Tribolium castaneum: one gene and its partner. The protein of the gene in region 1 binds, or shares a complex with, the protein of each later gene. Links are inferred from orthologs where the notes say so. Each region holds a gene or a part of one and is shown in the gene's direction. Other genes may lie near its edges.

Region 1 (4,462 bases):
CTACATTTGTATCATATGTGATTATGTGGTGAGTTGTAGTATTTTGTAATAATGTATATTATTTGCAATGTTTCGTATTTTTTGTACATAAATTCAGACACGTGTTGAATATTTGGCAATACCAATATGTATACTCGTTAAAATGTAAAGTGTTGATTTTTCCCGATTTTTATTTTTTCAATCCTGTAACAAAGACAATAGATTTTTTTATAAATGTGTGGTGATTTAATTTTAAATTCGGTTAAATGATCACACAACCTACTGTGGAACCTGTTAAAATTTTTATTTAAATAATATAGGATATACATTTATAAAAAAAAATGTTTTTATTATAAACTTTTAAAAGCTGTTTCTATAATTTCCTCAATCACAGTTGCACGTTTTGTACTTTCTTCCACACACTTTAAAAGTTGCTCTTCCGTAAAAACACAGCCACCTGGCTTGTGAACAAAACACAACTCTTCTTCCTTCACCACAATTGTCACCAAAGACGTACTTAAGTCCTCCTCATCCACTGTTGGGTCTATGAGAATTTTACTACAATCAAAAAATTAAAAAGTTTACAACAACAATGATAAGCTTACTCATCAAACATTGCAAACGTTGTTGCTATTGGAGTGTTGGTAACACTAAGAGCTTTCCTCTCTTGCACATTCACTTGCTTGTTGTCAAGGGCTGGATCGTACTGAACCGCTGGCAAAGTAACTGAAGCGCAATTATATTTTTCACAAAAAAACAATATTGTCTTTACCTGACTTAAGCGCTGCCATTAACGCAACAACACACGCGTCTATCAACGCCCCATCCAAATCCAAACAAATTAAATCAGCATATAAACACCAAGCTAATTTGTCTGGAAATATACATAACGTTTTTAAGTCTAAACAATCAGAGTTTTTTAAAATATCGGCAACTAACTGGGTCGCTACTTGGGCTTGTTCAGTTGGGGGTCCTGGCCGAAATTTTGACGAACACAACGGTGGTAATTCCACATTGGGGATCAAAAACCCCTCGTTTGCAGCCTCAGCCTTGGGCTGACACAACTCCTAAGGTTTGGTTTAGCAAATTGAATGCCTCCAATTACACTCACCGCTTTAATGCCGCAAACTACCGTCGTGCGACCAACTTTGGCAATCGCAGACCCATCGGCTGTCGAAATTGAGCCCAAATTGACCACGATGGGGCGATATTCCCCAAATTCGCGCCCATCAGGTCGGATTTTGTGGGCCAAGTGGTCGCGGAAGTACTTGACGGGGTGCAAAATCCTAAAACATAGGATAATCACCTTGTTATTTATTCACAGTACTACAATTATTACTTGTATTGTTCTGACATTATTGAATTTGTTTATAACCACGTTTTTCGTTTTTGACAATTGACATTATTAATGACGTTAGTTTTGATTGGTTGCCGACAACGGTGGGGGAAACGTTTGATTTGAAACGAGTAAATTCGGTTGAATAATGCAATTTTTGTAATGAAGACATTTGCTTGCAAATAGGGCATTTGGTTGGGAACAAGTATTGTCGATTGATTTTTGATTTAGTGCAAAATTCCGTTAAACCCTTCAAAACATGTTATCCCCACTCGTGTGACGTTGCTTAAATCTGGGCTCCCATTGGTCCCGTTTGTCATTTCAACGGTCTCTCAGCTGTTCGTTTCCCGCACTCTGCGCTCTTTGCATCTGGCCGTTAAAAACAGTCGTTTTGTCGGTTAGGGGTAGCTTGGGTGTTTAAGTTGGGGTTCAGTTTGGCCTTCGGTTCAGCAAACTTTTCGTTTTTCGGGTATTAGAAACTTGCACGTGTGTTAGAGGAATGGCATCGATAAGAATTCACCAGGACCAGGAAAACCGGGTGCCGGAATTGCGCCGAAAACCGGGAACGACTGCCCAGCAAAAACGGGGCGTTCTGGGCGAGATTGACAGTAATAAAGTTAATAACGCAGCCCTTAAAGGAAAACAGGTAATTAACAGTTGGAGGTAACTTTGGATGGGAAAAACGTTTGCTTTTTTGCCAGACGAAGAAGCCAACCGTTTTGGGAAACCGGGTGGAAAATGGGCAAAAAAACGAGAATAAGAAGAATGTCGTGGTTCCGGTGGCCCAGTTTGAGGCGTTTACTGTGTATGAGGATGATGAATACAGAGCGAGAATCGATGAAAGGCTCAAACTTATCAGTAAGAGTAATGTGTATAAAGGGACGGCCGAGGACAGGTTTATCACGAAGACAGAACTTGCCGAAATTGAAAGGAAAAAGAATTTGGAGAAATTGAAGGAAATTACTGCGCCTCAACTTAAGAGAAAATCGGAGATTCCGATGAGCATTGAGAAATCAGATGTGGAGAACATTGAGCTCAAAGAGCAAACGGTTTCCACAAATACCAATGCTAGAGATGTCTTTTTTGAAATGGAGGAGTATAGGGATAGCATTTTTGCTTATCTCAAAGAACATGAGGTAAAGTATCTTCAAGAACGACGAGAAAATTATTCCAAGTTTTTTTACATCCATTGACATTTATTCTCAATTAAAAAAAAAAAAACAGATTGAAGCCCTTTTTATTAACAACTTTGACTTTTTTTGAAATACTTTCGGGGCGGGAAATTTCATTATGGCTTTAATTTCGTATATTATATTCCATACTCTACGTTGTGATATGTTAAAAACATGAGAACACTTCAATTTACGATTTTTACCTATAACTTGAAAACTATCTTTTGTGGACTTTTCTCTAGAGCCTTTAGATGTGCCAAAAGCGTCAATTGAACCGGTTTTATAAAATCAGATTTATCAATTTTTGCGAAAATTTTGGTTGATTTCGATACCCGGAGCATTTATCGGGCAATAACTCCGGAACTGTTTTCCACGACCTTATTAAGATTGATCGTTGAAAAGCTTTTTTTATTTTCTATCTGCGACTGAAGAAATTGCTACTAAATGCAAAAATAGAAAGAAATTATTTCTGTAGATAACTTCAAAACTGTTACAAGTTTGGCCGTTTTCTCGACGTCAATCTATTCTTCGGATTATATTACATTGGAGTATCAAAGTGGTTCCATTTTTCGAATACTTTTGCTGTAATTGAGTAAATAAAAAATGAAAAATTACTGAACATTCTGTTTGATAAATCTTAATCTTATCTTTACGATGGAATAAGACTTTTTTCTGGTCTTTCAGTTTCACCGTATCCGTGTTTGAAAACTGATTTTTTTTGAGATTTAGTTCGATTTCTGGAGCATTTATCGGCCAATAATTTAGGAACTGTTAGACTTTACCCCATCAAGTTTGTTATTTTTGGAAAGCTTTTTTAACTATCACAAGCCAAAGATGTTTTTTATGTTTCCTGTATTCTGATTTCTGTAGTACCCACTGTTTTCTTTTCTACCACATTTACAAATAAAAAAAAGTTTATTATAAATTTTTAATAGTGAATTATTGAGTTAAAAATTTCAAATATTAGATGTGATACCTCTCGCGTTTAAAAAAAATCGTATGGGTGTTTTTTTTATGGATTGCTTCTGGGAGATCACATTTTATGGACCAACAGTAATGTTGTAATTAACATGTCTCTCACGAGAGGTAAAAGCGCAAAAACCGAGTGGTTTTATTTAATTTTTTGAAATAAGTAAAAATTATTGCTATGTCGTCATAGCAGTAAATTAAATTGGTAAAAACTGACAACAATATTGTAAACACTAAAAACTATGTTCGCCCGTGTTATCTATCGTTTTTTAAAATGATAATGTCATTTTTCTACCTATTTCATCTAATAGTTTCCGAGAAAATTGCTAAAGAAGCAAAATTAGGTAAAAATTATATGTTGTTAACTTGAAAACTATGAAGAATTTGACAGTTTTCTCTACAGCAAACGATTCTCCGGATTACTTTACTAAACCTATATTTTATTAGTTTTGTCGTAATTTACGATGGAATAGGATTTTTTTCGTAACTCTTTTAATTTCACCGTAACTAGCGTTTCACAATTGATTTTTTTTGGAGTTATCGCTTTGAAACCCACGCCAGTTTGTAGAGCTTTTGACGTCTGTTTCAATAGTTTCGCCTAATTGGCGCCTGAAAAAAAGGATAATTTTTTTCGTTTTTCTCGTAAACTGGTAATCGTCTGTCGGATGTGTGTAAGCAGAACTGAGACTTATTTAAAAAATATTACGTTACTCCAATAATTCGAATTCCAATGAATATGATTATAAAAAAAATCATGTCTTGCGATAACTTTTGTGCGCACTGTAAGAATAAGAATGCGTTTTAAATTATCTATGTTTTCGTAAAAACTCGAAACCGCTCCGGAAAATGGCTTCGCTTACAGAAACATTTTAAATTTTTTATTAAAAAAAATCATAATTCGAAATATAAAAAGTCCTACAGCAAAACGGTTTGATCAGATTACACTTTACGTAATATACTATTTTTCAAAAAAGGAAAATAGAGCATTTTAACTTAGAAAACCGTA
Region 2 (3,218 bases), on another chromosome or scaffold:
GTTAAATTTAGGCCGTTTTTCAAGCATATTTGCACAAAACTACAAAATTAAGCCCAGCATTATATTATTTTTGAACTTTTTTTAAGGTTCCAGCGCATTATTTTTCAGTCAGAAACTCACTCATTTCCCGAAATTAACAAAATATCTAGTTGCTTAATGGATGACGTCACAGTCATTTTGTGACGCGTCTTAAAAATGTGCGTTACTAGGCTTTGAAATTGTAAATAGGGGTCAATGACCTGACCTGGCCACACAATTGTTAATTTATTAGACTCACAATGCGTTTTCCGTTTAAAATAGAGCTCAAAAATTGAATTTACGAGTTGCTTCAACTACTCCCATCACCAAAAACCCAACTTCGGTACTTACTTGTCAATGTTGAAAATCGCCGTTTAGATCAACACATCGGAACACTGAAAGTCTTTGAACACTTTTGCACAAACATTTGCACGAAATAACCGATTTAACAGCGATTTTTCCCGAATTTACTAAGCGGTAAGCGGCCATCACGAAATTTGATGCACCGCCAATTGTTTCGCTACCAACCGTACCAATAAAATCACTAAATGTCATAGCGCTTAATTCAAATTGATTTTGCACACAAAACAGTTTTTTGTGATATTTTTCAGGCGCAGGGGCTTTTGAGGTGACCGCCCACAAAGAATTGATGGCTTACAAGGACACCGTTAAAGGAAAATCGCGTCTTGGAATTGGTGCTTACGCGGAAGCCCTTCTTGTAATTCCCAAAGTTTTGGCAACGAATTCTGGTTTCGATGCTCAGGTTTGTGTGATTTTCTCATTGATTGTTTTATAGTTATTTGTTGTTCTTAGGATACTATTGTAAAACTTCAAGAAGAATCTCGTAACAATAAGGAACCAATTGGGCTTGATTTAGCTTCAGGACAACCGATTAATCCGAAAGATGCCGGAATTTTCGATAATTACATCGTGAAGAAACAAATAATTAATTCGTGTTCGGTGATTGCAAGCAATTTATTGTTGGTTGATGAAATAATGAGAGCCGGAATGAGCAGTTTGAAAGGTTAAATGGATTTTTTTTGTCAGTAATTTTATTCACGTATTAATGCTTGATTTTGTAATTATTATACAACAATAATAAAGGATTTTAACACCCATTTTTTGGCCAAAGCTATTATTTGGCGATCGTATAGTAATTTTGTGTGTCTGAAGTTGGTAATGTGTGTCTATTTACGCCAAAAAAAAGACAGGTTATTGTGATTGACGTGAGTGCGATAGAGACGGGGATAATTGTACCCGATTGGTTGGTTCAAAAATCTCCAACGAACTTTCTCCATATTTCTTCAAACGAGCCGTTAAAAGTGTGTAAAAATTAACAAAACTCGTGTGCTTTGAATAAAATATCGTGTTTGTGGTCGTGTAGGCATTGCAATTTGACGTTATAAACGTCATTTTAAGTGGAAAGTTTGGTTATATTGGGGCAATGTCGAAACAGGGGGCCAACATGGATGACTTCCTCAAGATCGAAAAAATTGGTGAAGGCACTTACGGTGTGGTGTACAAGGGCAAAAACAAGAAGACGGGTCAGCTAGTCGCAATGAAAAAAATCCGACTGCAACCCGAAGACGAAGGTGTGCCTTCCACAGCCATTCGCGAAATCTCCCTCCTGAAGGAGCTCACACACCCCAATATAGTCTCCCTGGAAGACGTGATGATGGAAGAGAATCGTCTTTACCTAATTTTTGAATTTTTGTCAATGGACTTAAAGAAGTACCTCGACACCATCCCACAGGGCTCCTACATGGACCCCCAACTCGTCAAAAGCTACCTCTACCAAATCAACGAAGCCATTCTCTTCTGCCACCAAAGACGAGTCCTTCATCGCGACCTTAAGCCCCAAAATCTGCTCATCAACTCCGAAGGGGCTATCAAAGTGGCCGATTTTGGACTAGGGCGCGCCTTTGGGGTCCCGGTTCGCGTTTACACGCACGAAGTTGTCACTTTGTGGTACCGCGCCCCCGAGGTGCTCCTCGGCTCTGCACGTTACTCGTGCCCTATTGATATTTGGTCTCTGGGCTGCATTTTCGCCGAAATGGCCAACAAAAAAGCCCTTTTCCAAGGCGACTCCGAAATCGACCAACTTTTCCGCATTTTTCGGTAATCAAATCATGTAACTATAGAAACGAAAACAACTTGCATTTTTTTTCGATTCAGGGTTTTGAAAACACCAAGCGACGAAATCTGGCCAGGGGTGTCCACATTACCTGAATATAAGGTTACGTTCCCTAATTGGAAATCATGTACTTTGGAAAGTCAGGTAAAAAATATGACTAGCGACGCTATAGATTTGTTGAAACAAATGCTGATTTATGACCCGGCCAAGAGGATTTCGGCCAAAAAAATCGCTTTACATCCGTATTTGCAAAAGGTTGATACGTCAATAAAGCCGATCCTTAAATAAGCGGTTAGGTTTAGGTTTATCGTGTTTAGTATGACTATTTTCTAAATATATTTGTTTAAAAAATCTTTTGTGTTTGAAAACCTCCTTAATACATCATGCACGAGCTGCACGTGTATATTGCTATGGTGATGCGTCAATGTAGCTATGGTAACAGTGAAAGGAAATGCGGGACAGTGGCGCAACATAAAGCAGATCATTTGGGAACATAGTTTTAATGAAACAATTGAAATAAATACATTTTGTGCAATTCAACAACGTCTAGAAAAATAAATTGTACCCTAAAGTTTAATTAAGCGTTGAAATGTTTTTTGTGTGAATTAATTTGTGCCATTTAGGCATTTATTTAAAAAATTGCATACGCTACTCACGTAACTTTCTTTATTTTCGGTGTAGTGTTTAACATGAGGACTTGTTTCGTAACAGAGAGTTGTTACATCGATACCCAGAGATTTTCGATAGTTGGCGAAATATTCAATATCCTTGAAAAAAAAAAAAAGATGATTGGCTACAATAGTTAAGATGGTTACCGTATAAGGAATAAGAATGTCTTTTTTCGAGTAGATAAAATGTTGGGGACAGTTGTTTTTATCATCTTTCAAGTTTTCTAACGGGTTCGATTGGAACGTTTTTTTCGGACTGATGTAATTGCTAACAACCTACAATAATAAATCAAGGAATATTTAAAGTTTTTGGTGCGAACGCACCTCGTATAACCAAATCATAGACAAAAACATAGTCATGAGGACTGAAGCGGGAATATTGTAAAGGGGCCTTCCAC

What was found.
Region 2: CycA (region 1) and Cdk1 share a complex: the UniProt entries of both Drosophila melanogaster proteins name them as parts of the frs-CycA-Cdk1 complex. The link is inferred for Tribolium castaneum from reciprocal best matches to the Drosophila melanogaster genes CycA and Cdk1.

The regions. Positions count from the first base shown.
Region 1 is NC_087402.1:7,980,639-7,985,100, reverse strand, and holds the start of CycA (G2/mitotic-specific cyclin-A), read left to right. Parts: upstream 1-1,623; 5' UTR 1,624-1,814; coding exon 1,815-1,961; intron 1,962-2,016; coding exon 2,017-2,451; intron 2,452-4,462. Other genes in the region: exosome complex component RRP43, read right to left, coding at 330-537, 585-705, 752-1,046, 1,091-1,265, 1,319-1,335. UniProt on the Drosophila melanogaster protein: Essential for the control of the cell cycle at the G2/M (mitosis) transition. Interacts with the Cdk1 and Cdk2 protein kinases to form MPF. G2/M cyclins accumulate steadily during G2 and are abruptly destroyed at mitosis.
Region 2 is NC_087401.1:17,534,528-17,537,745, reverse strand, and holds Cdk1 (cyclin-dependent kinase 1), read left to right. Parts: upstream 1-1,254; 5' UTR 1,255-1,462; coding exon 1,463-2,136; intron 2,137-2,193; coding exon 2,194-2,440; 3' UTR 2,441-2,507; downstream 2,508-3,218. Other genes in the region: CCT6 (T-complex protein 1 subunit zeta), read left to right, coding at 630-781, 832-1,047; transmembrane protein 53, read right to left, coding at 2,758-2,919, 2,968-3,096, 3,145-3,218. UniProt on the Drosophila melanogaster protein: Plays a key role in the control of the eukaryotic cell cycle. Required for entry into S-phase and mitosis.